Linked DNA regions of Danio rerio. The protein of the gene in region 2 binds, or shares a complex with, the protein of the main gene of each other region. Links are inferred from orthologs where the notes say so. Each region holds a gene or a part of one and is shown on either strand. Other genes may lie near its edges.

The links.
Region 1: the proteins of csk (region 2) and pag1 are in contact, whole or in part, in an NMR structure (PDB 2RSY), measured with the Rattus norvegicus proteins. The link is inferred for Danio rerio from reciprocal best matches to the Homo sapiens genes CSK and PAG1. Residues at the interface, in NP_001025210.1 of Rattus norvegicus: Thr88, Arg89, Glu93, Arg107, Ser109, Thr110, Asn111, Tyr112, Thr117, Cys122, Glu123, Lys125, Val126, Glu127, His128, Tyr129, Arg130, Ile140, Asp141, Tyr156, Asp161, Gly162; in NP_071589.1 of Rattus norvegicus: Phe291, Ser292, Leu294, Tyr296, Lys297, Ser298, Arg299, Glu300, Glu301, Leu305, Ile310, Met313, Tyr314, Ser315, Ser316, Val317, Asn318, Lys319.

What each region holds. Positions count from the first base shown.
Region 1 is NC_133194.1:34,496,285-34,513,447, forward strand, and holds the end of pag1 (phosphoprotein associated with glycosphingolipid-enriched microdomains 1), read right to left. Parts: intron 10,293-17,163; coding exon 10,236-10,292; intron 8,429-10,235; coding exon 8,114-8,428; 3' UTR 5,705-8,113; downstream 1-5,704. UniProt on the Homo sapiens protein: Negatively regulates TCR (T-cell antigen receptor)-mediated signaling in T-cells and FCER1 (high affinity immunoglobulin epsilon receptor)-mediated signaling in mast cells.
Region 2 is NC_133200.1:21,859,698-21,876,860, forward strand, and holds the end of csk (tyrosine-protein kinase CSK), read right to left. Parts: intron 9,818-17,163; coding exon 9,724-9,817; intron 8,709-9,723; coding exon 8,643-8,708; intron 6,530-8,642; coding exon 6,430-6,529; intron 6,343-6,429; coding exon 6,252-6,342; intron 6,147-6,251; coding exon 6,073-6,146; intron 5,773-6,072; coding exon 5,577-5,772; intron 5,494-5,576; coding exon 5,407-5,493; intron 2,828-5,406; coding exon 2,645-2,827; 3' UTR 1,627-2,644; downstream 1-1,626. UniProt on the Homo sapiens protein: Non-receptor tyrosine-protein kinase that plays an important role in the regulation of cell growth, differentiation, migration and immune response.

The DNA.
Region 1 (17,163 bases), on a different chromosome or scaffold from region 2:
TAACTGACTGCATCTCTGTTTAATGTTTTTCGTATTTCTTTTTTTCCATATTTGTTTTGTGTTGTCACTTTATGTACACTGGAAGCTGCAAAACAAATTCTTTGTGTGTGTGAAGCAAACTTGGCAATAAAACTGATTCTGATTCTGGTGTTGGCGTGGGTTTCCTTCAGGTGCTCCAGTTACCCCCACAGTCCAAAGACATGAGCTAAAGGTGAGTTGGGCTAGCTAAATTGTCCGTAGTGTATGTGTGTGAATGAGTGTGTATGGGTGTTTCCCAGGGTTGCTGCTAGAAGGGCATCCATTGCGTAAAAACATGTGCTAGATAAGTTGGCGGTTCATTCTAAAGCTGAAGAAAAATGAATGAATAAATGAATGGATGAATGAATTAATAAATCAATGAATAAATGAATGGATAATGCGATATGTGTATAATTTCACCAGATTTCGACTAATTCATTTATTTAGATAGATTGGAATGATCAAGTCTTTTTCTATGCAGTCCGTTTGCAAAAATCATTAATTACAGTATAATAGCAGCACAATCAAACATAAAATATCATGGTCATTGTAAAAATTATTTTAAAATAATAATATCATTAATCTTTATTAAATAATCTAAGCCTGTGTTGTGACTATTGCTGATACACACATTGTGATATTGGTGCAGGAACAATATATTGTGCAGCCCTACCTAGGGTCATAAATGATAAGTCATAAATGAATATCGTAATTTGATCAGTGAAACATGTAGGCTGCACCTGAAATCCCTGTCAGTAGGTACCATATTTGAAACAGAACTTTACAATATATTACTTCTGGTATCGCTACCATTCACTCTCCTGTGGCTCCTGTTCCCTAGATGCGGATTTCTCAAGAATACATGTAATCTGGGTACTTTTCAAATTATTTTTATGAATAATATAAATACGGATCTGCTAATTGTATCACATATGCTTTTTTTTTTTTTTTTTTTTTTGGTTAACTGTCATAGGGAAGTGTGAATATTCAATAATAGACCTTATCAAGCAGACATCAGGTACGGCCAAAAATGTTAAATGACGAGTAATATCAGTGTAAAGCACTAAAACTAACAGCATCCTCACAGAGTTTACTGATAATAATAATACCTTACATTTATATAGCGCTTTTCTAGACACTCAAAGCGCTTTACACATTTTTGGAGAAAATCTCCTTAACCACCACCAGTATGCAGCATCCACCTGGATGATGCAACGACAGCCATATTGCACCAGACCGCAGACCACACACCAGCTGATTAGTGTAGAGAAGATTGATGAAGCCAATTATGATATGAGGATGGTTAGCCATGATGGACAGAGGCCAGTGCAGTGGGTAAATTTGGCCAGGATGGATAGTCTTTTTCGAAGGACATCCTCAGATTTTAACCTTGGGTCACATCAATATATTGGGGCGTTAGGACCCACACAGACAGCAAGTTGAGCTCTCCTTGCTGGCCTCCCTAACTTTTGGCAACAACCTAGCTTTCCCATGTGGTCTCCCATCCAGTTACTCACCAGGCGCAGCCATGCATAGCTTCAGTGGGGCCATGTGACCATGTTACGAAGAGCTAGCTGCCAGTATGAAATGTATTATGCTAAAAGTAACTGTATTGCCCAAAAAGGTGGCAACTGTTACCTACAGTACAACTACTTACAATCAAATTAGACTTGAGAAGAGTAAAACACCACTTCTATATTTTACCTTTCTCCCTTAAAATGTTTATTTTTTTATTTTATAAAAAAACTGCTTTTGTTCTTGCTGAAATAAATCAAATAAGACTTTCCCCAGAAGTAAAAATATTATCAGACATACTGTGAACATTTCTGTGCTCTGTTAAACATTATTTGCGAAATATTTAAATAAAAAAAAATCAAAGGGGGGCTAATAATTCTGACTTCAACTGTACATTAAAAAAATAACAACATATAAATAAAAAGCCATCATCCTTTCCATTTTTTCCCATTGGATTACGATACCTGGTGTTTGGATTAACCACACATTAATTTTCTGCCAACCTTTATGGCACTCTGAAACATTAAAAATCAGATTTGAGATTTGAGGTTAATAAAAAATTAAACAAATTAACAAATGACTATAAAACAATTATAGGGTTGTTTTTAGAGGGGGTTTCCCCCTTTTATTAGGATAGAACAGTGGAGGTTACAGACAGGAAAATATTGGGAGCAGAGATTCTATATGTCAGCGCACTTAACCACAAGGCTATTGGTGCTGACAAGACTTGTATTTTTTGAGGTGTCAGTATGCTTATGTTTATATAGGCCTATTGTTGTGTGTGCAAAATCTGTATATTTATAACCTTCTTCAAGAAAAATGGGGACCGCAAGTTATTCATTCATTCATTTTCTTTTTGGCTTAGTCTCCTTATTAATCTGGGTTCGCCAACGCGGAATGAACCGCCAACTTTTCCAGCATATGTTTTATGCAGCGGAAACGCTTCCAGCTGCAACCCATCACTGGGTTACATACACTCTCATTCACACACATACACTACTGAGAATTTAGCTTACCCAATTCACCTGTACCACATGTCTTTGGACTTGTGGGGGGAATCGAAGCACCAGAGGAAACCCACGGGGACACAGGGAGAACATGCAAACTCCACACAGGAACGCCAGCTGACCAATCTGAGGCTTAAACAAGTGACCTTCTTGCTATGATGCAAATGTGCTACAACTGTGCCACCCTGCTCCCGGCTGCGAGTTACTGACATTTTTATTTTGGGGTCGCATGGTAAAAAGTTTGAGAAGCCCTGGTTTAAGGAAAATGTTACTGTTGAATGTTTTAACTATCAATTGCAGTAATAACAGTACTAAAAGCAACATAATTCAAAAGGGAACATATTTTTGCAGTATCACAGTTATTTTAAATGTATTTTTTTTAGGGGTTTTCACCTTTATTGTGATAGATTTAGAGACAGGACAGTATGGGGACCAGAGATTGGGGAATTGTCGGCAAAGGACCTTGAGCTGGGAATTGAACTCAGGTCACCATGAACACCTCGGTACCATGTGTCGACGCACTAACCACAAGGCTATTGGGACCGACAGTATCACAGGTTTAATTCTACAATTTATATTGCATTTACTGACAACATTTCAGATGTAATCCTCTAATCTTGTGCATTATAAAGCTTCAAAGCTATAGTTCACCCCAAAATAAATATTTGCTGTTAATTTACTAACCATTATGTTGGTGGAGCTTGTTTCATCAGTATAACATTAAAGCAGATTTTATTTTTAGCTGAAACCTGATTGTTGCTAATTTATTAAATGCAAGTATAAATGTAAAACTCTTTAAGATTAAAAAAAAAACTAGGTATTGAAGCAAAATAATAGTCTCTAAGAAACTGAACATGAATAAAATCATTATTATCTAAGCATATGTTCCCAGCAGTCTAAAATATTGTTACATTACAATACAGTTTTAATTGTAGAATTTGTAGAGACTGCAGTTTTATAAAGTATTGAGGGACATTTTTACCTTTATGTCCAGTTAAACACAAACAAGTGCAGGTATATGCTGTGTGTGCCTTCAGTTTGAGTTCTGAATCGATTGTAGCATTGATCATTTTAAAGAGCCGCTCCTCCCGCATGGCCTCTCAATGTATAATATAATTACTGTGCGCTTGTGGGCATGAATCGCTTATAACAAACTGTCTATAAGAATAACCCCTTAAGGCATGGCATCTTTTAAGAAACAATTTATACCTATGAAGGGTAAAAAATCTATTAAATGCACCTGTTTGCCAGCGCTCACTTATGGAATACTTGCATTCAAAATGCACAATGCTCTGACCACAGATTCAATCAATAGTATGCTGTACAGTGAAATATGTTCTTTAAATCCCTTAATACCAGCACGCTGACATGATAATAAACCTGTCTTATGGCAGATTGTTTTTCTACACTTGAGAATTAAGTTTAGTAGGATGTATCGACAGATTAAATATCAACATTATATACTGCCTATTGGTGTATTACTTTGAATTCAGTGCGAGGCCATGTAAATATAGAATTCATTCATTCATTTTCCTTCAGCTTAATCCCTTATTTATCAGGGGTCGCTACCAGTGGAATGAAATACCAACTATTCTGGCATTTGTTTTAGCGGATGCCTTTCCAGCTACAACCCAGTACTGGGAAACACCCACACACTTTCACATTCACACTCATACAATATGAAAAATTTTGTTTACCCAGCTCACTTTCACTCACCGGCCACTTTATTGGGTTCACCTTACACGTACCAGGTTTAATCCCCTTTTGCCTTCAGAACTGCCTTAATCCCTCATGGCATAGATTCAACAAGGTACTGGAAATATTCCTTAGAGATTTTGGTCCATATTGACATGATAGCATCACGCAGATGCTGCAGATTTGTCAGCTGGACATGCATGTTGCCAATCTCCCGTTCCACCACATTCCAAAGGTGCTCTATTGGATTGAGCTTTGGTGACTGTGGAGGCCATTTGAGTACAGTGAACTCATTGTCATGTTCAAGAAACCAGTCTGAGATGATTCGCGCTTTATGACGGCCCCTTATCTTGCTGGAAGTAGCCATCAGAAGATGAGTACACTGTGGTCATAAAGGAATGGACATGGTCAGCAACAATACTCAGGTAGGCTGTGGCGTTGACACGCTCAACTGGTACTAATGGACCCAAAGTGTGCCAAGAAAATAATCATTACACCACCACCAGCAGCCTAAACCATTGATACAAAGCAAGACGGATCCAAACTTTCAGGTTGTTGATGCCAAATTCTGATCCTACCATCCGAATGTCGCAGCAGAAATCGAGAGTCATCAGACCAGGCAACGTTTTTACAATCTTTATTGTTCAATTTTGGTGAGCCTGTGTGAGAATTGTAGCTTCAGTGGCACCCGGTGTGGTCTTCTGCTGCTGTAGCCCATCTGCCTCAAGGTTCAATGTGTTGTGCATTCAAAGATGCTCAAGATGCTCACCAGTCTATTCTCCTCTGGCATCAACCACAGAACTGCTGCTCACTGGATATATATATATATATATATATATATATATATATATATATATATATATATATATATATATATATATATATATATATATATATATATATATATATATATATATTTATTTATTTATTTATTTATTCATTTTATTATTATTTTTTTTTTACTAACCATTCGCTGTAAACCCTAAAGATGGTTGCGTGTGAAAACTCCAGTAGATCAGCAGTTTCTAAAATACTCAGACCAGCTTGTCTGGCACCAACAAGCATGCCATTTTCAAAGTTTCTTCCCCATTTTGATGCTCGGTTTGAACTTCAGCAGAGCGTCTTGACCATGTCTACATGCCTAAATGCATTGAGTGGCTACCATGTGATTGGCTAATTAGAAATTTGCGTTAACAAACAGTTGGACAGCTGTACCTAATAAAGTGGCCAGTTAGTGTACATCACATCATTGGAATGTGAGGGAAACCCACGTGAACATGAGGAGAACATCCAAACTCCACACAGAAATGCCAACTGGCCCAGCCAGGACTCAAACCATTGACCTTCTTGCTGTAAGGCGACAGTACTAACCACTGAGCCACCGTGCCACCTACATATAGAACTGTTTACAACAATTTACAGTGATGTGTAAATGATAAATGCAGACAAACATATACACAGACAATGTATTTTGAGTCCAGCATGACTATATATTGTTTAATAAAGCAAATACCACATTACAAAGATTACGATGAAATAATGAACAAATGCAAAATTCATATTTACAACTAAATACACCAGAATTTGGTTAAAGAGAGAAACAAGACAGTTTTTTTTTAACCATGATATTAAATAAAATAAGGATCTTCAGCAATATGAACCCTGTACCAACACGACGTACCATTACAAGCAAACACTTATTTAAACCCTCACATTATAAACACTGCTTAAGAAATCCGAAGCAATACAGATCATTGGCTTTTTAAACTGTAATAAACCTCCATAAAACGTTCTGTAATTACAAAATGCATCTGGAAAATGTATGTATTCCAATTACTGTCAAAGTTTCTTTAGTATTAACCCACTCTAAAAGTTCCTCGTGCTGTCATTTGATAGCGCTTGGCAATTATTACAGAAGCATACTGAAACAGTGACATAATTTAACAGATCAAAATAGGATAGTTTGGATATTTACAAGTGTCTCTTGGCATGAAATTCATCCCAGGCGGCGTCTGGACGCGCTATGCTTTTTGATTATACCGCTACATTAATGTAAAGGCAGCTAATTGCATACCTGATAATGGTCACACTTTACAATAAGGTTTCATTAGTTTATGTATTCAGCAGCATGAACTAATAATGAACTATACTTGTATAGCATTTATTAATATTAGTTTAACATTTACTAATGCAAGATTAACATCCACATTTATGCTTGTTAACATCAGTTAATGCAGTGAGAGTTAACATGAACAATGAACAACTGAACTAACATGTCTGTAACAATTATACTTTTCATTCTTTGTTCATGTTAGTAAATGCACTAACTAATACAACCTTATTGTAAAGTGTTACCCTGATAATAAAGTACATTTGCTAAGCTGCCAGGCAAAGCTGCAGTTCAGCAGTACCTTGTTGTCTCTTTCCCCCTGTGCTTTTCAGCCATTTGAAATGTTGCGTACCTTATTACATGTAGAAACCAAGATATATCTCAAATATATAACGTATCTGATACACTCATCAATACAGCTGCATTAATAATAATAATAAAATACATACATATTGAAGCAACACAGCTTAATAAAACCACAACTAAAATGATTCGAACTCACACCAGCAATAGATAATGGCCAACGTTTCGTTAATACCCTTTTGGCACACTCATAAACAAGTGCACTCAACTTTGCGTACCTAAAAGGTCACTTCCTCTCCTGAGCCTGTGATTTGACACACTGTTTATAAAACGTGTGTAACAGCTCAGCGTGACGGCTACATGTTCCTCTTGTGGGTCTTGATATGTGTTACGCACTTGTGAAACTAAATGCTCCAGCAGTTCTGATTCGAATGGATGCGGTTCCTTAATGGCCTGAACTGAGAGGTCTGCTGTTGCTGATTTCTGATTGGTTCGCTTTTCGGGGTTATACAAGGATGCAACTCTGTAAGTTGCTCAACTAGAATCACGTGAAAAGGGGAAGCTCACAGCAGGTGCAGCATGCAAGTGCGTGGAAACCACTAGTACGTGTTATGAATAAAATATTCCTCATAAGAGCACCACCATTGTTGGCGCTTTGTTTTGAAAGGTGGTGAGGGCATGTGGGAAATGGGGTTACACAGATGCAGATGTGCTGGTTATTATGTCACCAAATAGCCAAGACTAAGCTTATGAATATTAATTAGGATATGCAAAAATTAGATATGTGAATTAGTATCAATAGTATCTGGAATAAGATTACTAATAATACTAAATTAATTTCAGGTTGTGTAAGTTCTTGCTTATTATCTCTAATAATTAATGTTAATTTTGTATCTTTGGTCTAGCAGCACATTTCCTTTGTTTATAAGAAGGATATAAGAATGTTTTAAACTATATTAACATCTCTACATCATTTGATAGAGCAGATCTGTTTGCATTTCCTTATTATTTTTCACATGAATGAGAATGTGCCGTTTGAATGGATGTATATGCTGTAGAGAGAAATCATTTAAAGTCTTTGTTGCTTTCAGGGACATTAACAACACACAAACTCTAGTTGAGATGCTGCTTCTGTGTTTGCTAAATCCTTACTGCAGGCTATTTCATAAAGCAGGGATGAAACAATGGCTCTAGCAAGAAAGTGATGTAGAAATGTCCATCCTAAGTGATGCCAACTTATATAAAAGGGACATCTTGGATTTTTCGTACCCAAATATTCACAAAAATACGTAGCATAAAGAAGAGTGCTTCTTTTCCTGTGTTGGATGAAGCCTTTCAATAGATAATGTTCAGAAACAATGGGGTGCATAAATGCTGTAGGAAAGATTAAGTGCATTATACTCATGATGCCACACACATTTCAATTCTTAAGTTGTCTCAGTGTTCGCAGTCCTTAAGTGGGTAGTCAGAGACGAGAGATGTCCCCGTTCAGACCCAGTTCCCCCACACTCTCGTAGTCAGGCTCCACTATCCCATTGCCAAGATGAGCCTCTTCAGACGCTTTGGAGATCTTGATGGTCTCGTACCCGGGTTCTGCATTCTCTGTAAGCCCCTCTGAAGGCTGTGAGCCAGAAACCATTGAGTATTCATCTCCAACCGTGGCGTAAAGATCACTGGAAGTCGACTCCGGCATAATTCCCTTGATCTCTCCAATGCTGCTGTAGTCGTTCTCTGCTTCCTTTACAGGATTCTTCGCAACCGTGGAGTACAAGTCTGATAACTGGAAAGGGAAATGTAACAGAGAATTGGACATCTTTACAATGCAGACTTGATGTAGTGCACTACCTATATACAAATAATTATTTGTGGTAAAAAAAAAATAAATAAAATGGAAGTAGGGCTGGGTGATATTGGCAAAATTTTTTAGAGTAACATTGTTATATGTGGATTTTAGATAAAATCGGTATTTGTTTACATCCTGCTCAATGTTATTCAATAAAACATTCATGTTCAAATTAAGTAATATAAATGTTCATATTAAAGGACACACTGTAAAGGACACACTGTAAAATGGTTTCGCACAATCGATTTGTGTTTGGATAACATGAAGGAATTAAGTTAGCATTGCAGTTTTTACACATTTCAGTAGATTAAACATAAAACAATTAAATTGTCACCTTCAAAAAATCCAACATTGTGTTGTTTCAGCTTATTTAATAAAATAGTTATAACAAACAACAAACGTCTTTTTTTTGAGTGTATGAAAACAGGAAATTTCTGGCATGAAACTCTATACGTGCGCATGCTAAACAGGTCAACAAATCTCATAAACTCATCTCATAAAATCTCAGAAAAACAGCACAGCACAGCACAGACATGAAGGAAGCAGATCTCACGTAACGTTTGTGAGAAATACTACAGTAAGAACTTTCCTAATGATTATTTGATGTATTTGTTGTGGAGTTAATTCAAGCCTTTCTGCAACGATGACACTTTCACACACAATGTTGTTACAAAGTTCACGCATACACACACAGACACACGCACGCGCACACACACACACACACACACACACACACACACACACACACGCACACACACACACAAGGCAAGTGCATTTAACTATGCACTGTTTTTGCATGGAAAATGCGACAAGATACACATTAATATCCACTGCTGTATGGATTTTTGTTATGTTAACGTACAAAATAAATCTGATTTAAAGTCCACAAACCAGGACTGAAGCATCTTCTTTTATAATTGAACTGACATGCTTCTGTGGTGATAAAGTAAAGCTGAAGTAAATGGCTATAATTCATTGCAAACATACACCGTTTTAAAAACAATTATAAACTTCTAATTCTTGATCAGATTTAATGATTGATGATCACAGAGAGCTGAACAGATCTTTTACTCCCTGTTGCTTTGCGCACATCCTGTCTTGTTGATATGATTATACACGTTATTATGGAGACATGTTATTTTGCGGCTGTCAATCAATTTGGTGGAAGGGAAACCACACCTACATCACGTTGCAGTCAGCCTCAAAATGGGAGGGATTTGGATCCTATTTTAAGATCCGAAAATTTAAAAATGAGACTTATTGTGTTTATATCACCCTAATATGACAGCGGACACACTATACCTACACAGTTCTGTCCAAACAACGTACAAAAGATGATTTTCATCATAGGTGCCCTGTAAGGCAATTCATTTCCAAAATGTACAAATGCAGAGTACATGCAGAGCAACTGCATGTGAAATGTATGCCACACACTGAGGAAAACACCACATCTCAAACATGAAATACAGCTGATCTGATCAAAGCATTTTTAAGGGAAATCCACATGAAACTATGCATGATAATGATATCTTAGTTATTCCCATAATATAAAGCATGACTCATGTAAGACAAATTGGGTTATGCACATTCCCTACAGGAGCTCTCTCTGTGTCTTCATACCAACTATTGTATATCAATATAATGGTATTATCTCATACTATATTGTCTATTTTACAGGAATGATACATATTGCATGTTGTAAAAACCACCCATCCCTAAAACACCAAGTTGGGGATGAGCCTACCTCACTGTCTGGAGACACCTTGTCCTGAAGCTCTGGAGTCAGCAGCGGGGAGTGTAACTGTGGGACAATGATTGAAACAAAGTCATTAGTCATTAGTCAAAAACACTTTCAATCAGAACACTTAAACGCAGAGGAAATAGCCCGCTTCAGCTGACACATGCTAGTGTCGAAGGCTGATTGATGCAAAAATGAAGCCACTCATTCATTACTTAAGTGTTACTGATTGAAATCAAATGTACAGGTTCTCTCTTAGCACGAGCAATTGTATATTTACAATAGCAATCGATACTTGAGTCATCAATTAACAAAGTAAATCCTACAGCAGATCAATAACGGACACCTTGACTGTAAGAGAGGAATATCAATCTTCTTCAGTCACCTCACTGACATAGAGAATACAGTCAAGCGGGAAATTTGCTGTAATCCCTTCAAGATTAATCTTAAAATGTTTTAGCGCCGTTTCAAGCCTGTTTTAATGAAGCGGCCTCATCCTGTGAGTTTGAAGTATTTTGCATTGATATGATTACGCAGAACCTGCATCAGGGGCTCAACCGACGTGCTTTGATATTGGTTTAATTAGCAAGGCAATTAATTTAATAGCCCGTCCGCAAAGACACTGATGACCTCATCACAAATAACAAATGTTTCCTGCAATAAGGCTTATCTGCTAATTCACTCTCGCCTTTGTCTCTGTCCGGCCCTCTATATTAATTAAAGCACCTCTTGCATTGATTTGGCCATATAAGAATTAAATGATCAACATAAGCATTTAAACTCACTGCAACATCATCACTCAGGCAGTTACAAAGATTAGGGGTCTTGTGTGTGATGGCATCATTATATATAAATATATACATTTTTTTTTTTTTTTGAACTTTATTTTTATACATTAAAACGTTTTACAGAACAGAACATTCAGTGACAGCAGCGGTCATTAACAAAAAATAATAATAATAATAAATAAATAAAAAAATAAAAATAAAAAAAGACAGTAGCCGCAGATGTAAATAAAAAATTACAAAAAAAAAAAACATACAATATTTTCAGTTTCAAAGGAGCTAGAAATACTATGTCCTATTCAGGTACAACATAACAGGTGCCCATCTTTGTTTAAAAATATCCAGTTTTAGTTGAAGTTGAGCAGTCATATACTCCATTCTATATATACAATCAAGTTTTTCTATCCACTGTGCTATTGTTGGAGGGTGTGGCTTCATCCAATTTATTGTTATGGTCTTTCTTGCACTTAGTAAAAGTATATGTAGTATATATCTCTGGTTTTTATTATATATATCCTGGGGTATCCCTTCAAGCAAGAAAAACAGGGGAGTAAAAGGTAGATCTACCTGCATAATTTTCATTATCTCAATCTTTACCCCTTGCCAAAATGCAAGTATCTTCGGACATTCCCAGAATATATGTGCATGATTACCCACATTTCCGCAACCCCTCCAGCATTCCTCTGACTGTGGACGATTAGTATATTTGGAGACCATCAATGGTGTTCTAAAAAACCTAATTTTTGTTTTCCAGTCAAACTCTTTCCAGTTATGGCTGTTGATCCCCTTATGAGCTTCTGAACATATGTTTTCCCAAATATCATCCTCAATTTTTTCATTAAGTTCAGATTCCCATTTTTCTTTAATTTGAAGGGTGTTATCTGTTGAATCCAGAATTAGGCTATTATATATCTGTGATATGTGTCTTTTATGCAATCCTTTTTGTTTTTTTATATCAATAAAATACTGTTCCACATTAGTTGGGACTTTTTTGAATATTTCCTTTTCTTTATGATTTGTAATATAGCTTCTTAATTGTAAGTATCGAAAGAAATCACTTGACGACAACATAAATTTGTCTTTAAGATAAGAGAATGAGTGCATAGTGTTTTCATTAAATAACTGATCAATTATCATAAGTCCCTTATCGCACCATGTTTTAAAAGTGGCATCCCATTTGGATGGTAAGAAATCAGGGTTATCTGCTATAGACATAACTCTTGATACGGTTGCCATTCCTCTTAGTTTTTTCTTAACTGTTGTCCAAATTCTCTGAGTCTGTTTAACACACTCATTTTTTATTTGAATCTTTTTTTGAGATTGTTGTGTCATAAAGGCTAATGCTGAAAGAGGTACATTTGGTACAGAACCCTGAATATATACATTTTTATAAGCTGTACATGGCCAATCAGCAGTTGGTAGCTTCTTTGCATTACTATTGATTACCTTCAATTACTATTGCATTACTATTTGCATTACTATTAACCTTTGCATTACTATTGATTACCAGTTATTGCAGTTCTCTAACAAACAGCTTTGAGAATTGTACTTCAGACCATATGCAGTTTTTTTTTTTTGTAGACAAACCTAAAATATACTTGTTTGAATGCTATTTGAGTACAATGAATACAATTTATGGGATAGTGTTGTGTCAGATCAAACCAAAAGTTGGGAAGGATATGTTTGGTAATAGTTTTTTTTTTTTTACTTTTATGCATTTTTCGTGTACATATTTTTTACTTTGAAGGCATATATGTTCTCTGTGAGGAGTTAGAGATGATCTAAAAGCATTGCTGTTGGATAATAGGTATTCCGACTTCAACTTTTTCAACACTGATTGAAAGGTGTGATTAAGCCCCCAAACGTACTCTCACCAAAATACTCAATGACAGTTTATGACCACTGTATTGTTTCCTGCCTAAGGCCCCATTGTCATCCTGCCTTCTTTGACGAAACAAGACATTTGCTATACTAAGAAATAAAACTAAACATCATGAACTCTCCTTTATTCCTTTTGCTCTAAAACTGTTGTGTAGATAACTTATTTACAGTGTTTGATGTTTTTTAATTATTGTTACTTTGTTTGTTTATCATGATTTAAATTAGTATATTTATTAGTCAATTATTGATTCGAATGCGTGTTTGACAAATTTTAGGGAATTGTGCTGCAATACCCTGTACTTGACAATTTTTTTTTTAAATGTTATACACTCACACACCCGCCCTAGATCCTGTTTGATTGGAAACACTCACAGCTGAAGCCGCTCATGAACTGATTACACGCACTATAAAGTCAGCACACAAACACACAGGGGTTGGCAAGTCTTGTAAACATTACGATGCGTTTATCTTGCCTTGCCTTGCCTTGCTTTGCCTTGTTAGATCCTTACCTTGTTGGTTTGTTTGTTTAAGTTGTCTGCTGTCTGCTTTTTGACCAACTGCCTGTTTTGATGACTACGACTTGATTTCCTACATACATCTGTTTGCTCCTGATTGTGACCGTTGCTTGCCTGATCATCTCTGTATAATGTTTGGATTATTACTCTGTTGTCAGCGTCCAGTTCACATTACATAATGTCAAGATATTTAAGAGTATGTTTAATAAAATTTTTCAAATTTTATTCGTTTTATTGGACTCCGAGTAAGCTTTTTAGGCTTTGGTTGAAGGACTCTGCTGAATGCTGGAGATGTGAGAGTAGAAAAGGTAACTTAATGCATACCCTGTGGTCCTGTTCTAAAATACAGGAATTCTGGATTAAAGTGCACACTTACATTCAGAATGTTTGTGGATGCTGCTTATCGTTTTGTCCTAAAATATTCATGTACTGGGAGACCCGTTCGTGTTGGGGTCTGGTGTGAAGATTTAAATAAGTATTATGATTGCAAGACAAATCATTATGAGGGGATGGCGTTCAGCAGGTCCACCATCATTTCAAGAATGGGTGACCAAATTGGGGAAGGTGGCAGCATATGAAAAATGACATATGGATTACTTGATAAATTGGATGTTTATCAGAGAAGATTGGGAAATTATTTGACAGTTTGGAAGGATGAATAAGGTCACTGTGGTGAGACACATGGTAAAAGTGTAATTATCTCATTTGATTTATTTATGTATGTATTATTATTATTATTGCATTGTTGTTTTATTAATTAATTAATTATTTTTTTTACGATTATTATTTTATTTATGTGTGCTTCTTTATTTATTGAGTTTTATTATTTATCTGGGCGACGCAGTGGAGCAATAGGTAGTGCTGTCGCCTCACAGCAAAAAGGTCGCAGGGTCGCAGGTTCGAGCCTTGGCTGGGTCAGTTGGCGTTTCTGTTTGGAGTTTGCATGTTCTCCCTGCGTTCGCGTGGGTTTCCTCCGGGTGCTCCGGTTTCCCCCACAGTCCAAAGACATGCAGTACAGGTGAATTGGGCAGGCTAAATTGTCTGTAGTGTATGAGAGTGTGTGTGAATGAGTGTGTTATCTGTTTCCCAGAAATGGGTTGAGGCTGGAAGGGCATCCACAGCGTAGAAACGTGCTAAATAAGTTGGCGGTTCATTCCGCTGTGGCGCCCCGGATTATTAAAGGGACTAAGCCGAAAAGAAAATTAATGTTGTTTATCTGTATTTACTGGATTTATGATAGCAACATCTAATTACTGTAACTGCCGCTGTTGGGGAGGGGGAAGTGGATGTTAAAAGGATGTAAAGATGTATAAACTGATTGTATGATTAAATAATTGAAGAAAATAAAAATCTAAATCATAAAAATTTAATTTAATTTACAAAATTTTAACTTGTGGCGATAACCTGCGATTTCCCAATTGATATTGTTTGCGGTGTCCTTCACACTGAGCACATACATTCCCTTGAACACCCCAATGGCCGAATACCCAACCAAGTTCAAATTAGAACATACCCTGCATACAGTATGGCAAATGCGTGAGGCAAAGGGCTATAGTTCAACGCTCATGTTTTCATTCCCACGCATCCTTTGACAAGGCATCAGTGCTAACAATAAAAGTCCTCCCCTTAAGCAGGAGATTTCTGAGTGTTGATGTGCTGAAATCACAGTTTATCACAGACAGCTGCCCTCAGTCCATCATGCAAGCATAGTGACAGTGGCACCAATGCATAATGACACACATGGCGCTCCGCTCAAGCCAGACTTGCTTGCTTCGCTAAAATAACTAAACATACAGTCCACACCATGAGCTAATGAGGCAGTGTGTACAATCTGTGTGCAAGTGTTTCAGCATGCACATGTCAGTATTGGTATCCCAGCTTTAACTGACGAACTGTCTTGCTCAAACACAGACCGATGCACCTGTAAACACATGCTCATGATGTCTCATTCATCATGAGGGTGAGCTGTCAGACAGTGGACAGCTGGAACGCACTGATCCCCATCCCCATGTTACACACAAACATGTGACCGATAAGACAAATCACTGCTGCCCCATTACACATCTACATCAAGCTAGCGAATAGGATTTACAGTGATAGGTGTATCACAGCATAGTACGTGAAGGGTACAAACAGGTTTTCCAAGTGATCAACAGGGTGATAGAGTAAACAGGACAGTTTACTCCGAAGGGTGCAGGTACATGATCCACCATCTGACTTTTTTAGTACTGATTCACTACAGCCTCTTCCAAGTGTGCCAGTGTTGGCACCAGATCCAGTGGCCAGTCTGGAATCATTATACACATTTCCACTCCAATAACGTTGCAGAAAAAAAACTGCCTCAAATGGCACACTATACACTTATGCACTATGTACTTATGCACTTACACACTCAACAGCATAATATATTTGCTGCTAGCTCTCTGCAACTCACATGGTTGCCCACTGAAGCTGATCAGTACCTGGATGGGAGACAACATAGGAGACCTAGGTTGCTGCCTAAAGTAGTGTTAGTGAGGCCAACAAGGCCCTCACTAATCATCTGCATGTCTAGCAGGTATATAAGGTTTCCATACCATACAGTTGACCAGCTCACCATTGAAGCGCAATTTGCAGTGGTCGCCGGTATCAATGTAATCGGAGCAATCTACTGCACACAGATTGCTATAAAGTCGCCATCTGAAGAAGAATTTGCAAACGTGAATCAGAAACATTTCCATTAAATAAATGTGCAAATAAAATAAGATGCACAGACTTATTAATGATTCCTACTTGTCTTCCTTGTGATGAAGAGTAGGTAAAATCTGATATGTAGCAAGAGAAAAAAAGAAGATTGAGTTCATCAGACACTGGATTCGAACCGAGTTCATACTCGAACTTGTAAAAATATGCTGCCATGTGTTTTACGAGCTACGCCACTCATGCTGTTGAAGACGCTACAAAATTTTACACTTTTACATAACACTATTTCTTTTTTTAATCCACATCAGCTAAACTCTCCCACTCTATTTTTTTCTTTTGTTATTAATTCCGGAGGACAATATGCAAACAACACTGTTTTTCTCCAGTCTACCTCCGTAAGCAGCACCTCCAATTCATATTCTTTTCAAAGTTTCTCTTCTTGCTCGCTTTTGCTATTGCTTTTTTTGTTTGGTTTTGCCAAAGTAGAGTCATATTTATTCAGGGGAGGAGGCAGGGAGGGGTTTTGCGCTCGTGCATGTTGCGCTCAGTTAAGTTCATTCGTATGTAAAGCAGCATAGTATATTTGCTTCTAGCTCTCTGCAACTCACATGGTTGCCCACTTAAGCTGAGCAGCTCTGTGCCTGATTAGTACCTGGATGGGAGACGACATAGGAAAGCTAGGTTGCTGCTGGAAGTAGTGTTAGTAAGGCCAACAAGGGGCGCTCAAACTGCGGTCTGTATGCGTCTTAACGCCCCAGTATAGTGAAGGGGACTCTATACTGCTCAGTGAGCGCTGTCTTTCGGATAAGATGTTAAACCAAGGATTCTCTGTGGTCCTTAAAAATCCTTGGATGTTCCACGAAAAAGAGTACGGGTTTAACTCTGGCATCCAGGCCAAATTATATACTGGCCTCTGTCCATCATGGCCTCCCCATATCATATTTGGCTTCATCGTCTCCTCTCCACCAATCAGCTGGTGTGTGGCGTGTGGTCTGGTGCAATATGGCTTCTGTCGCATCATCCAGATGGATGCTGCACACTGGTGGTGGATGAGGAGATTTCTCCCAATGT
Region 2 (17,163 bases):
CAATACTTTTTCACTGTGTCATTTCATGTTAATACACATAACTGTAATGTAATTAGTTTAGTTTTCTTTGCATGCAGGTGTTTCTTTGGTTGTTATTAACATCTTAGAAGATTTTCAAGTCTACGGCACCTTTAGAAATATTCTGAGAAAAATAGTGACGTGTTTAATACTTATTTTCCCCCACTGTATATACCCCATAAAAGTCCTTCCGGAACTGAACATTTCACTCACACTTTATTTACATTAAAATGTCATTTACATCAAGCTGTCATTTCAAAACTGTTGACCGTTTTAAACAGTCATGCTCAAAGAACTTTATTACATTTAGCGGATTTTTACACTGAATATTCAAATGTGGTTTCTGAAATATTGATAAAATTAAATATTTGTCATTTGACATTCTTATGTAAGATTGAAATTCAAGATTTTTAAATGAAGGATTTCTTCATTTTTTTCATTCCATTTTTGAAACCAGCAAGGTACAATTGCTGAAATAACACCATAAATTTCCAATTTAAGCACTTTCAAGAACATATGTTTGTTTTTATGTACTTTCCAGGCCTTGAATTCATGTATGTTTGAAATCAAGTACTTTCAAGAATCCTGGGTTTTCTGTCTGAAATGATTCATTCAAGCCCTGCCTTTCCGAGAGCCTACTCTTCTGTGATTGGTCTACGGGCTTGTGACAATAACTTTGTTATGACAGAAATAACCATGATGGCATTACATTGTCTACTGGTGATGGGTTGTTTTTAGATGATTTATTCATTTTGAAAAAATCTTTTGTATGACTCGAGAACGATGAGTTTTCTCACATTTGTGCAGGTGGAGTAGAAGATTAGTACCTTTTTTTGAGTCTTCTATCGGGTTTGAGTCGTTTGTTCATCACGTGAAAGATGGAAGCCAATCATATGAATTTAGAGCCGAAAAAAGATGTGATCCGTTCATCTCTCGAGCCCTTGGTCTGAGTCTTTTGTTCATCACGTGAAAGGCAGAAGCCAATCATATGCATTTAGAGCAAGAAAAAGATTTGATCCGTTCATCTCTCGAGTCCTTGGTTTAAGCCGTTCGTTCATCCCATGAAAAACAGAAGCAAATCATATGAAAAAGATTTGATCTGTTCATTTCTCACATCTCTCTTTACATGCCATCACATGATGAACGAATGACTCAAAAACCAGAAGACTCGAAAGGTGAATTTTATTTGGTGTAATTGTAGATGTCATTGGAAGCAACTCGTAACATTTTAATAATATTTTGGCAAATCGAACGAAATGACTCTAAAAAAGATTTGTTCACCTCGCTGCACGAGACTCAAAGGTCTGAGTTAGCAATATAATCCGAACTTCCCATCACTATTGCCTACAAAACAGTGGCTATTTCCCAACACTATTGCCTACAAAACGGTCGCTATTTGTGCAAGAAAGACAAAATGGAATTACTGACGACTCATTTCAGGAAATTCAGAATCAGGATGTTGCTGTTGTTTTTTTTGGGAGACATAAACTCCATTTATCGAGCACTTTGATCTTTGATATTTTGCAAACCTTTTACATTTACAAACAGAGATATTACATACAGGATGAAAGCACAACAGTGGCATTTTAAACGGCACATAAACACACATTCCAAGCTTTTTGGCAGCCTTTTTATTTTTTGTTTAACTTTCTTTTTATCAAACTGTTCTGGTGGAATGATTTCTTTTGTAATGTGGCAGCAAAAAATGTTTAAAAAGAAGAAAAAATAAAGCACTGCGAGTAAAATCAAGTCCTTCACGACGACCAAAAAAAAATAATAATCAGCATATGACTTATAGAACAAATATTCCACAAATCTGTACTTGTGGGCTTTTAGTATAGTTTCTTTGTCTTACTATTTTATTTATTTATTTATACTGAATTAAAGCATTCTGGCTTCCACCCAAGCCACATCTCATTTGAAATGTGTTTATATTCCATGTTTATATTCATCCATTCCGGTTTGGAGGCTCAGACTGACATGTGTGGAAAGATGAGATGCAAAAAAGCAGGAAACGCAAGCGCTTTTAAACAACGTATAAAAAATTATGCAAAAAAACAAACAAAAAAAGGCAAGCTCTGAGGTAAAACAGACTTCTGGCATAAAGGCACTGTGAAATAGAAGAAAGACTTCCTCATGTATTTCACCGGCTACTGGAAATGAAAATAGGATGAGGATATGATCTCTAAGTGCCAATTATTGCTTTTTGGTTTAGGATTTTGCAGAATCAACAGGGCCAAAAAGTCCTGTGAATAATTTTCATTATATTTGTTGTGTTTTTTATACTAATACTGATTATTATCATCATATTTTTAGCAGGAAGTACTTCATCATCAAATCAAAAATCCATAATGGGGGAGAATATGAAGACATATGAGGTCAGAGGAGGCTGAAGATCTTATGAATCAAAAAGAGGTGAGTTGTATAGAGAAGGCCAGCCTCCCCAAAATTAAGAAAACCAAGCAAAGTAAAAGATGTAGAGAGAGAGAAAGAGAGAGCGAGAAGAAAAGAACGCGCTTGCAAACGTAACTTGTGATGTTTGTCAAGTCCACCTCTTTAAGAGTAGATTTGGTCAGATTGAATGAGGATGGTCCCATGGAGGTGTTTGTACTCTTCTTCAGTCTTTTTATCGGTAGAGCTCATTGGTTATGATATCTTGCAGTTTCTCTCGAAGGTCTCTGAAGCTTGGCCGCACCACAGCATCCAGAGTCCAGCACTGCTTCATGATGTCGTACACCACTGGAGGACAGCCGTCGGGGGAGTCCATCTTATAACCCTTCTCTACACGCGGGACCACTTCCTTTAGAGGCTGGAAGAAGAGAAAGAGAGACAATGACTCAGGATAAAACAAAACAAAATGTGCTTAAGGAGACAACGGTGCCCTCTACTGGTAGGAATCTGAAATTATACTGAAGTAAAACATAACATTTGAAAAATTGATGTATTTGTTAATAACTAAAAAATTAATGAGATAAAACTAATGTAACAGAGTTCCCATGCTTTCCTGAACAACAGTTTCAAGGACCTCTGTAATTCATGCCTTAGCATATGTAGTGCCATGAAAGCCCTTAATGTACTTTTAAGTCCCTATGAAATCAAAACTAACCATATGATTTTGTTAGCTCAATTGATTGTTTTGGGATGGACAATTCATCTGTGCATGTCATTATGAGAAAAAAAAATTGTTTGCCCTTCTAATCTTTTATCGAAATCTGAAAATGCACTTGCTGTTTGTTTTATTCTCAGATTACGTATATCTTAGCAACTGGGCGTAGCTAACATATTTAACCACGCTGGTTCAACTCAGATATGAAAACAAACAGAAATGGTGAGGAGGAGGAATCTGTTAGGTTGTAATAACTCTCCCTAAATACTTTTCCACATCTTTCTAAATGAAATGCCTACTTTACTACATCCAATCAGCTCACAGTAGAAAAAAACAAGCCACGCCCACTGTTTTCTCATTTAATATTCAGTTTCTCTAGGAACTGCATCACAATATGGAGAAAAACAAACAAACAAACAAAAACGGTTGCAGCTTCCAGTTCATGTGGGCATTAACAGTTCACTTAATACTTACAAGTCATTTTCAAACACTTTTCAAACATTTTAAAAAGTCATGGTCAAAGAAATTTAATCAGATTTGTTGATTTCAATGCTGGTAATATTCAAATGCGGTTTCAGAAATATTGATCAAATGTGCATTATTTGTCAGTGTTATTGTACAAGGTTTAAATGTAAGATTCTTAGTTAAAGAATTTCTCTTTTTTTTTTTTTTTTTATAGCACAATTTACCATCCATAAACAAATTTCAATTAAAATTTAATCCAAGCACTTTTAAGGACCTGTGTATAAGCAGCTAGCTCTCTGCAACTTTCACATGGTCGCCCACTGAAGCTAAGCAGGACTGAGTACCTGGTCAGTACATGGATGGAAGACCACATGGGAAAACTAGGTTGCTGTTGGTAGTGGTGTTAGTGAGGCCAGCAGGGGGCTCTCAAACTGCGGTCTGTGTGGGTCCTAATGCCCCAGTATATTGATAGGGATTCTATACTGCTTGGTGATCGCCATCTTTTGGATGAGACATTAAACTGAGATCCCCATATCATAATTGGTTTCATCACTCTGTTTCCTCTCTGCCAGGTGGATGCTGCACATTGGTGGTGGATGAGGAGATTCCACCCCGAAAATGTGTAAAGCGTTTGGGTGTCCAGAAAAGTGCTATATAAATGTAAGCAATAATTAATTTTATAAGTATTTTACAGGCCTTGAACCCATACTGTATGTCTGAAACTCAAGAAGGGTCGGAACTCTGAATATAATAAAATTGCCAACACTTGTACCAACTGGTGGACTATTACCTGCCTATTGTTTAAATACTGGCTGTTTATATGTAAAGTACATATTCTGCATGATCTTATTCGACATCAAGAATTCTAGCTATCACCTAAATCCAAATACTCTATCAAACAGCAAATTAGAAGTTTATTGAGGCAAACATCATAGTTATTAGTTTGTTAATAGCAAGAATAATTTATGAGCTAAATATATTATGACTAGGGCTGCACAATATATCGTCTCAGCATTGATACTGCAATGTGCACATCCGCAATAGTCACATTGCAGGATATGCAACGTAAAGTTATGATTATAGCTGACCAGGAGAAACAGTTTAGAACACATGAGCATTGTGAAGTTATTGCAGAGTTTAACCATAATGGAGTGAAATTTTAGAATTTGCACATTTTTAAGTGCTGAAAGATTTCAAAGTATTCAGGCACATATAGTTTTCTTTAATAAATAATACTTTTTAAATTTTTTATACAGTAAAGACTTGCAGTGTTATTTTACATTTGATTATTCAAATTCTGTTCTTGGATACGATGCAAATGCCCTGAAAACCATAAAACACTTATCACACTTCTGCCTTTGCTCTTTTGTATTCATCAATGCTTGTATTTCACATTTTATTACATTTTTATGCGTAAAAAACTTCCCTACAAAATATTCCCAATTAAATTGAATAAATTCTTTCCAAATAGCAATTTTCAAGTCCTCTGGTGAAATTGTAGATACAGTATATCACAATATTTTTTGCACAAAAAGTGAATATCGCAATGTCTGATTTTTCAATATCGTAAAGCCCTAAAAATGACACATTTAATAATCTTTTGTTTAAAGACTGAAAAATTAATTTAAAAAAACGTATTATTATACAAACTATTTTATTTATTTTATGATTTTTAATAAAAGTATAATAATAATAATAACTATAAATTAACTATTAATTAATACATCCTATTTAGAGATTAGTAAAACTATTCAATCACCAGTATCAGCTACAAGTGAACATTCAGGAAAATGTGTTTCGGATTTGAAGGGACTTACAATTCTTGGATATGGTACCCGACCAAAAGAATAGATCTCCCACAGTAAGATCCCATAACTCCATACATCCGACTTAGTGGAAAATTTCTGTTTCAGAAAGACGTGCAGATTAATAAAAGGATATTTTCAACTAGATTCCACCATTAAAACAAACCATTTACAAAGCACACCTTCTCTCGTAAGGCCTCAGGTGAAGTCCACTTAACAGGGAGTTTGGCTGTATCTTGAGTAGACGAGGCTTCCTTGGTGAGGCCGAAATCACTGACTTTAGCTATGTTGTCCTCTGACACAAGAACATTACGAGCGGCAAGGTCCCGGTGCACAAAGTTATTGGCCTCAAGATATTCCATTGCCTTGCACACATCCCTAGGAGAAAATGTAAATAGATAGATAGATAGATAGATAGATAGATAGATAGATAGATAGATAGATAGATAGATAGATAGATAGATAGATAGATAGATAGATAGATAGATAGATAGATAAAGTAAAAAAGAAATAAATTAATAAATTAATTAATTAATAAAAAATATGGTTATTATAGAATATAGTTTTTATAATAACTTTTATAATTTTATAAAAAAAATATATTATATTTTATTATGCTTCAAAGTCTGAAGTTATGCTATTTTGTCATGGCTTAAAAATAATAATAAAGAAACTCACATTGAGAAATTGATCAAACGATCTCCACCGATAACAGTACGACCTCTGGAGCGCAGATAGTCCACAAGACTACCCTGAAAAAGGCATACCAACAACACTTAAGTACACTCTACACTTTTTATATGGCTATTAAACATGCCTCTGGCTATTCTCGATGGTAACAGATGGAAGTCGCTGACCTTGGCCATGTACTCAGTGACGATGTAAAGGCTGCCCTTTTCTTCCACGATCACCCCCAGCAGCTGCACCAGGTTATTATGCCGTAATTGACTGTAAAAGTGCAGCGCATGAATATGAATATTTTGCAATGACTCTAAATATAACTAGGATTCTAATTGGTCAGTTAGATGAACGCACGTCATGACTGAAGCCTCTGCAACGAAGGCCTGTGCTGTGGCATCATGTTTGATACACTTCACCGCTACTTTCTTTCCTCTGTAGTCTCCAACCATCACATCTAAGAACAAATAAACAAAGAGAATAATTAAGTCTGAATGAATTAATGACTCCTTGTGTAGTTCATATTATTATTATAATATTCTGTATGCATTGAATTTTTTTTAAGATAATTGGATCCTGGGCCAAATTTAAGGCCAATCATTCCAGTAGTGGTCACTTGGCATGCTTTGTAGAGCATTTTTTCTATCACATTATAGAAAACATCATTAATTAGGTCAAATCTGAAAATCTTATTGTAACATTTCTAATTTTTGTACATTTGGTGATATAGTCTTTAAAACATTTATTTTATTAGCAATCTAAACATTTGGTTAGCCATTTAAAATTATATTTAAAAAAAAAAAAACTGATGAATATTTTGCTGATAGCCTGTAAAAAAGCCAAAACCAAAAATGGTTGCAACTCTAAATGCCTCAAATTAGTGACTGGTTTGACATAATTTATGAAAACTACAATATGGAGAGGTAATGAATCATTGTTTACAGACTGAGGAGTTTAATGAGACATGGAGAAAATCAGTAGAATGTATTCACCCATTAAGACCAGACTTAACATAGGATGTATAATCAGAAAGATGTGCATTTTTATTATGTTTATTTTGTGTATAATTTTCTTGTAATGAGAGAAAACAAAAGAAAGATAGTGAGAAGAACAATACCTAATGAAAAAATAAAAATAAATAAAAATGTACATTTAATATGCTAAAAATACCATCCTCACAGTTTCATACGTATATAGCTTAGGGGGAAGAGGGGTAGACTGGGTGCCTCAATGTGTGTTAAGAAAAGTACACAATTGAATTGCAATTGAAAAGCAACAAAACTTAAACTGTTTTCTTTTTGACGACATACAAAACAATTATGAGAGTATTGTTTTGATTGTCCTCATGATGTCCTTGAATTATTAATGTACAGGACATTCTGTAACTATTAATGTACAGTACATTCCGTAATTATTAAAAATGTTTATGGTATTTTATAATTTCTTTCAACTTCTGGATTCCGATGATTGATTGTTTTGTGTATATAATGTGGAAACTCCTATTTACCACAGGTGTCAATTCCAGTTTCTGGAGGGCCGGAGCTCTGCACAGTTTAGTTTCAACCCTAACTGAACACACCTGATCAAACTAATTAAGTTCCTTAGGCTTGTTTGAGACCTACAGGTAAGTGTGTTAAAGCAGGGTTGGAACTAAACTGTGTAGAGCTACAGCCCTCCAGGAACTGGAATTGACACCTGTGCGTATATACCATACATATGTATGTAAATTTGGAAACTGCAATAAAAAAATACAAAATGAAAACAAAAAACAAAAGAACGCTTATATTAATATGCAAAATATACACAATATTTTCTTTAGAATATAAGTGATAAAAAGTGACATTCATTTGACAATAATGCATCAAATGTGAGAGATAGCAACATTAGGGTTAGTGATATGATTCATTTTTGGTTAGCAATAGTATATATGGTATGTAAAATAAAAATATTTAGTACAGTGCATTTCTTATGTTAAAAATTGTATACAGTGCTCAGCATATATAAGTACAGCCCTAACAGATCTCTCTTCTAAATGGATTTTTTCTACAGGATGCTTTACAATAATATATTTGTGCATATACATTAGATTAGTTAGTTCCAAAGTCAAAACTACAGCTAATTTAACAAAATAACTTGAGATCATGGTCCAAAAATGTGTACACCCAAATTAAAAAGTTGGAGGGAAATATTAAATACAACTTTAATAAACAGGGGGGAAAAACTCAAGAGAAACATAAAAAAATATATAATTTAGTTGCAATTTTGTAGTTTGCAAATTTATTTTTGCAATTACTCGCATGAATTTAAATGTACTGTATTATTATCATCTTGCAATTGTTAAAGACTTTTATTAAAGATTAATGTTTGGTGACCAAACTATTATTTTAATGGATAAAACTGTTTAACAAAAATGTTATGTTTAAATGAACCAAAGATTATTGGATACATTCACTGAGAAATTAATAAATAAAAATTAATTTTCAAAAGGTGGTATACCGATTTATGCACAACAGTATATGTATATAGTAAAAAAAAAATAATAATAATTTTCTCAAAGCAAACACACGTACCTCCAAACTCTCCCTTTCCAATAGTCTGGATAAGCTTCAGTTCTTTTCTATTCAAAGCCCAGCCACCTGCGGGGAAAGAAAATTGGGTACTAATTTAGCCATGCAGGAATTAAATCCTCTGTTGCTCTTCAGTATTAATAATGTAACTTAATAATAAACAAGATTGAAAATCAGATCAGTAAAACTATTTAAAGAATATACAGGTTTACATTTTTTATATTCAGCATTAACTACAACATAAACCCAAAAAATAGATAATATTTTGAATTTATAGAGAAATAAATGGCACAATTTAGAGGTGGATATTCTTTAGTAGCATGAAACTTTTTTTAAATAAACTATATTTAATTTTTAAAATGTTAAATGGAATGTTCAGATAAAAATTCCCGTCATTTACTCGCACTCAAGTGGTTCCAAATTTTTATGAGGTCTTGCTTCTGAGAACACAAAGCTAAATATTCTGAAGAATGTTGGGATGTTATAAAGCATGTCATTGAAATCCATAGTAGAAACCAAAATATACTATTGAATATAATATATAGGGGTGTAACATGAAGGGGCGTAAATTGTAGAACCTCAGAGGCATAACTTGAAATTTTAGAGAGCCATATTTCAAAACTAACTAACCCAACCATCATAGTTAATAATGTCTACACCTTACTCAACCCTTAACCTAACTATTAAAGTTATTAACATCTACACCTTCCCCAACCCTAAAGCCAACCATCACAGTCTTACAGCGGTAAGTAGGGAAGGTTTTTTATACTTTACAAGCTCCCCATTGTACAGTTATTTGCAACCATAGGTGGCAAACTGTCATGATATTACAGAGGAAGAAGGCAGCGAGTTGCGTGGTGGAGTTCCCCAACGTTTTTCAGTACATCACCATTTAAAACGCAGGTTTGAAACAAGTCGAATAAATTATGACAGATTTTTCACTTTGGATGAACTATCCCTCTAAGAAGTCAAGTTTCTTTGATGATAACCAGTACAATTACCTTTCTGGAACAAGGAGCACCAGAAGGTTAAACCTGTACAAACATGTAAACAAATGTGTGAATACACTCAAGGGAGGTCTTACTTCTGGAGAACTCATCCTGGGCTGCCACAGTCCCCTCCATGATTTTAGGTTTGATGAGTCGCGTACAGAGTCCATCTGCATCTTTAGTGTAGTGCTGTTGAAAAACAAACACACACAAGCCGACCAAAAGTAAGCTCATTTACCAAAAAAAAAAAAAAAAACTAGCATGACAGTAATGGAAATTAAAAGAAAACCATCAAATGTTTATGAAAGGGTATTAACATGCTAGAATAAACTTAAACAAATGACCAATTTACTGAATAATGCAACTCGATATGCAAATAAATGCAGGTTTTATGTAACTAGAGAAGGAAAACACACCTTGAATGTGCAGTTTGAATGAATAAAATGAATAAATAAGATAGTCTCCAGCAGAGGTCGCTGTTGTTTACATATAAACCACCGAATCCTGCGTTTCGCCTCCTCACAATAGACAAGTCCACACAGGCGAGGACATTCTTATCATTTCAGTGATGAAAAACGTGTTTTTGATTTCATGTCTGGACGCTAGAAGCGTGAGGTCAGACGATGTGATAATATTGTAGGACGATTGTAATGCATCGATTATGCTGTTGAAATGATCTGGAACCTGTGCCCGTTTCCTCTTTGTCACTTCCTCGTTATCAACTGTTCCAGGAACTGGAGTGCGTGTGTCTGTGTGCGAGTGCGCCGATATTACATGCGCGCTCAAAATAACAACACATTTGCATGAGTACAGTCACACAAACACTTCAGTAATTCTGCAACGCACTGATACTTTCAAATACAAAAGGTTCTCACTGTAACACCATCTTTTTCAGCCATTTACTTTCATACATGAGAAATAGCACAGATTTGATGTTAATAATTTTGTTATGTGATTCATTCCTGAGATGGTAAAGCTGAAATTATTCCATTTCATCACATAATCTTTCATTTATAAAGATATGCTGATCTAATGCTTAAGAAGCATTTCTTATTAGTAATATCACATTCAACTAAAATAAAAATTACCCTAAAAGCAAAATAAAACTAATGTCATAACATGCTATTATATGAAATTGACAGCTAAAATATAAAAACAAATCTATTGTATACAGGGTCCACTGGTCTGATCGGGCCAGTGGTTCAGATTTCTACTTGCCCTGCCAAAATTTTCACTTGCCCCACCAACAAAAGAAAGGGAAGTTAATAACTATTTTTTTAGATACATATTTTAAATAATGTGTCAAAAATAAAGTCTGTGAATCTAGAATTTTAAGACTTTAAAAAAATTGTAAATAAAAGTGTTTTGCAAACAGAAAAGAAAAGTATGGAAAATGTGGAGGTATTTTATTGCGGTTTGAAATTATTTAACAAAGGGTGGCTGACTTGTCAAACTGACGGCAAAAAACAAACAAACAAACAAAAAAACATCTGTAATATACAGTGCTCTGCTTAATTGAGTAAATCCCATTTTTTTAAAAATTAATATTTTTATCTATTTCTCAGTGAATATAGGCAATGTGTGTTTGTGATTCAGATTTATTAAACAGATATATTTATTAAAATAATAATAAATTATTTTTGATTTGAGGGCGAATTGCCCTCAAATCAAAATCTCGATTAAATGAACATTTCAACTTGATTACGATTAATAAACGATTATTTTATTTTTTTGACCTCACGATTCACTAACAGGTTTTGTACAGTAAATATGCTCACATATCACAAGTGAGAGATTTTTACAATACAATTTTTACTTAATTTAAAAATAATTGAAGGAAACACACACTATCTACGATTATTTATTAAACATCTTTGAACAACTAAAATGAAAACACACATTGCCTGAAATCGACAGTCCCTTTATTCTTAAAAAAATGGGAAAACAAATAACTTTTGAAAACAAAACTAATTATGTTCAACGTTTTCAAAAGTAGAAAATATAATTTTCAATGTAAATAATTTTATTGTAATAGAAAATATGCCATCTCAAAGCATATCTGGCACAGCTTCCATTCATCGTCAATGTAATGCAAATGTGCAATGTGTAGTTTTTTTTTCGCGACCACGCAAAGGCTGCGCCGGAACATAACCATGCGTTTGATGCAGGTGTATAAAACAGCTTTAACAGAGCGGCTCATGTGACTTCACACATGGAAGGGAATGTAATTGAAAAAAATTGACCTGCAAAAATTAGATTGATTACAGGTTCTGAATGTCGATTTTGATTAATCATCCTGAATAAAATACTTTTATAACATCATATACATCTTTACAGTCACTACCAATAATTTTAGTTCATTCTTGCAGAGTAAAAGTATTTCTTTTATCATTTATTTTAGAAAAAAAAAATAATAAATGTGCAATGATAAACACTAATCAAATGACAGCTGAAAATATCAATTTGGGGATTTTATTTAATTTATCTCGAGCAGTTTTCCAATGAATTTTATCAAGCGGAATGTGGGAAGAATATCTTCTGTGGCAATGTAATCACTCTGAACATAAAGACTTATTGTAGCCCTGTCCACTTCTCAGGAAAGAGCACAACTGTTCAGTTGAGTATATAAGGGTGGGAGAAAGAGAGAGCGACTGTAGCCAAAATTACACTGAAGAATGTGTGGAATTCCGTAATAGAAAGGGTGAGGAGAGACTTGAGGAACCCATAGTGCCTCTAAAGTGACCACTAAAACTGTCCAGACCCCAATCTAGGAGAACTAGAGCACATCCGTTATCAACACTTAACCGAGAACGCATCACTGGTTAATCACACTGAGCGGCCCTTATAAAGCCAATAGACAGCTGAATAAAAATAAAAAGATATGTAAAACTATACAAAGTACAGCCATTTACATCTCGCATCTATGTAAATCAGCCCATTTTAAGCCTGCCTTTTGATTAGCGGTGCTCACTGTGCTTTGTGTTACAGCCTTGAATGTTTGTGAAGTGCTATAAGTATCACTTTTTTAAGGCTTTTTAAGGTGATCATGTAATAGCCATAATAGATTCCTTTAATTTAAATGAAAAGAAGGACTCAAGCCACTTTCCAACACTCTGATCTTAACAGCAGCTTTGTAAACAAGAATAAACAGCTTCTACTTTTGCTGAGAGGGTGTGTTATTTAAAGACAAGCATGCATCATTTAAATGTATTTTAAGAAAAGGGAAATCTCAATATTATGAAATACAGCGGTGTTTTATAAAGCAGAACTTTATGGTGTAAAGAAACTCAAATATGCTGATCTCCTTGTAAAGGTCCTGTTCCTAAAATATAAATATAGGGTGCTTTCACACCTGCCTTATTTAGTTGGATTGAATCGCACTAGAGTTTGTTTCCTCTTTTGGTACAGTTTGTTTGGGCAGGTGAGAATGCAGCAATTGTACTCGAGTGCGCACCAAAAGCGGACCAAATAAGCGTACCGAGACCTGCTTGAAGAGGTGGTCTCGGTAACGGACCCTGGAGCGGTTCGTTTGTGGTGAGAATATGATCCGTACTAAAACAGGTCCAACCGCAAAAAGTACTGCACGTTTTGGACTAATTCAGCTGCTGTAGGCCGATGCGCTGTGCATTATGGGTTATGGAGGAAAAATATTTGTTGACAGCGCTTTACCAACAGAGAGAGGGGAAAACATTACCTAATGGATCGTTGGTAATATTTCCGCAAGATGAGCATGTCGCAGTTTAGCTAAATTAATTCACGGCTCCTCCTGAAGTGACGAGTGATGCATTAAACATTGTTTTCCAGCCACGGCCGCGCTTCATTTTCGTAATGTAGTTTGTCTAAAGCAGAGATACAATCTGCCAGCGCAGTCGTCCCTCCAGAGTAAAAGGTTTTGTTTACCTGCGGGAGTTCACTGGCATTTTCCCGCATGTGAATTCTGACCAATCAATAAGCAGTTTAGGAAGTATGTTTAACAACATCTGGCCAATAAGAGATGTGGATTTTGTCAGGTGACTGCATTGTCGTTCGTTTCAACTGGTTCGGACCAAAGCCAGCAGTGTGGTGTGAAAACGACCCAAAGACGGCAGAAAATGCAACAATGTATCATTTATTGCCCTTGGTCCGGACCAAATGAAGCGAACTACAGATGTGAAAGCACCCATAGCTATATATACCTTTTCAGTTACAAAAACCCAGTGTTACTATGAAAAAAGCTAAACAAAAATGAACAAATAATTGCCAAAAATTTTCTAAAAAATGAAGGCATGCTCCAATTGATTGGACTGAGATTGAATTAACCGATATTCGCATTTTATGAATTGATCAGTATTTTATCACTTCAATCTCACAAAAGTATTGCAGATTGTTTACAAGTTTAAAAGCAGAGAAATACGCACAAGAATTACAGTGGTGTGAAAAAGCATTTGTTTTTTTAACTGACTTTTTTTTTTGCAGGTTTGTCACACTTTATAATTTCAGATCATCTTGAATTAAAATTAGTCAAAGATTATACGTAAACACATCATGCAGTTTTGAAATACATTTTTTATTATTAAGGGAAAACTAAATCCCAAACTAAATAACCCTTTGTGAAAGTGTTTGCTGAAGGACAATGATCCAAAGCCCACAAGTAAGTCCAAAACAAAATGAAGACTTTGGAGTGGCCTAGTCAAAGTCCTGACCTGAAACAATTTTGAGCTTTTGTTAGCTCATTCCATCTTCTGGGTTGACCCTATGTTGATGACTGGGTGAGATCTCGTCCACGGACCCACAGCACGCAGTATTTAGCCGTTTATGAAGGGTTGTAAGGGTTTGTTTCCATGATCCACGGGGTTAGTTGCATTTTTTCCCCACAATCCTGTCAGGGCCGATACAGCAAAGCTGTTTGTGTGCAGCAAGCATTTTTTTGGGGAGAGCTGTACAAGAATTGGGGAATGGCAGACTGGGTCCTTTACCAGTGGAGTTTGTTCACATTTAGACACATTGCCGTGCAGCTGTGTTTGCCTAAATCCTACAGATTACCATAAGGGCTAATGGTTGAAACCGAAAGTGGGGTGTGTCATGGCCCTTTAAAAACACTTGATTTTAGTTATTATTTACTAAACCTTTTTCCACAAATGCCTATTTTACATTTAATTTTCCCTTAGTAATAAAAACCTTTATTTCAAAACTGAATGTGTTTACTTGTGTTATCTCTGACTAATATTGAAATTAGTTTAATAATCTGAAACAATAAAAGGTGACAAACATGCAAAAAATGTCCTTCCACTGTGTACATCAGCAGTGTGACAGCACTTGAGGAAGTATATGAAGCATGGAGGACGTCAATGATTCGAGACACTAGACAGGAGAGATCCTTGTGCTTGCATACTTGCACAGCTGTCTACATATGTGGTGAGCAATGGCCTCTTTGTTGCATCCATTGCAGATCTACTGTATTTAGCTGCTTTGACAAGCAACACACAATGTCTAGTGTCTCACACAGTCATCCCACCTCCCTGACTCATGCAAATTAGAGACAATATCCTGGAAATCATGGACCAAGAAAAAGAACGAGAAAGAGGAAAGATAGAGAGAGGCACGTTTATGTACTATACTAGCAGTAAACATTTATGTCCTGTGTCATCCGTAACAGGCTTCCATCCATCTTTCCCTCACAGATCTCACACACTGTCAGTGGAGCTGCGGTAAGGCTTTCTGGGACTATGAGCATATAATATGTCAGGAATTTTCCAAACTATTTAATTCCATCACTCTTTCATTTAGATAAAGATGCGTGTATCAATAGTTGGACATGAACAAACCATTTGAAAGGACTTGCATTTATTTAGGCCTATTTACATATAACTCCTGAAAGTTTTGTGCAGTTACATAATAGGTTCATAAAAAATTGGCTGAAAATGATAGAAATTTTTCAAAAATTGAGGTTGGATGATAAATCGATTTTATTGATTAACTCTTAGATTAAACTGATTTGTTTCAATGAACATCTGTTTTCATTCTAAAGGCTGATTTATACTTTTGCCTGGCACCAGGTCACGGACCTCCACTGACTGCGCGCTCATCTCACGTAACAACACTAGGCTTATGTACTTGACACGTTTGACATTGTGATATTCTTTAAAATGACAGGGGGCAGACGAAAGAAACAGAGCATAAAATCAGACAAATAAACAGAAATAGGAAGTTTACGGAACTACGTCATATCATTAATATTGTTTATTATTTTTATAAATTATTGAAATGAATATAAAGATTTTTATAACCATTCAAGATTTTTAAAATTAAACTTTGATGCATCATTTGCTTTTGTTCATATCTCGGACAATTCTACCTATTAAAGTTAAATATCAATGACAAGAGAGCATTGCTTGCTCCACAAATATAGTTTTATTATGCCAAGAATAAAAGCCAAAAAAAAAGCACACTTATTATTCTTTTTTAGTAAGTTTATTATTATTTTTTTTAAATAGATTTAGCCCATTCCACAATTCACACATTACCATCTGACTTTGTGTCCTCATATGCTAAAAAGGCAATAATGGTCCAACTTGCCGGATCATTATCACCAATAAAGCCTAGAAAAACAGTGCATCAATATATTGTAACCGTTATTCTTTTCCAGTTATCAAATTTATAATGTTCCTCATTTTAGTTTTGGAACTATTAAATTGTTTTAAATCCAGAAGTGTAATATATACATCAGTGTTAAACCTATGAATGGTGGAAAAACATTCTTTAATTGTTTATTAAAACCACATGGGTCTCCACTTTTGCCATGGCCTCTCTTTTTGGTTTTAACAAACTTATCCCTCAAGTTTTCAAACATTTTAAGAAAAACTTTCTTTCCCACTGCTGTTGCAATTTCTAGCCAAGAATTATTGGTCATCTGGTTATCCCTATGATCACACATAGACAAATAATAAAGATTTCTGTACAGTCATATCCATTTCAGGCAAAATCTCTTCAAAGTGAGTCATATTCAGCTCAAATCAAATATGGCGCCAATCGAACTGTTCGCTGGAGTCTCAAAAAAGTCTGTGCGCTCCACCAGTCGAAATGAGGTCGCACGCACCCAAAGCAAACTTCTGCAAACTCTGCGATGATGTCACATCTGCCATGCGCACTTAATCGTACTAGCGAATGCGTAGAGTATAAATCAGGTTTAGCACATGCAATGCTCCGCTCTGTGCTTCCATAGTTCCCAATCATTTGCCATAGTAACAACATGGCAGCGAGTTTGGAAGAACTCAGAGAAACACTGAGCTCTATGAAGTAAAAAAAAAACAACAACAAAAACATGGTCACATAAGCACACCCTCCAACACTTGCTCAGTGCAGCAGTTTAACAGATGCAGTGGCCCAATGTAAATAAAATGTAACCCACTAGCTTTGCACGAGTAGTTCATATGAACTGAGCTAGGGGAAAATAAAAATGAATAATCCTCTGAATGTAGGTTCATGTTGAAATAAACAGTAATAATATATAATAAATAATAATAAAAAATATCTTAAAAGCCCCCTTTTCTACTTTA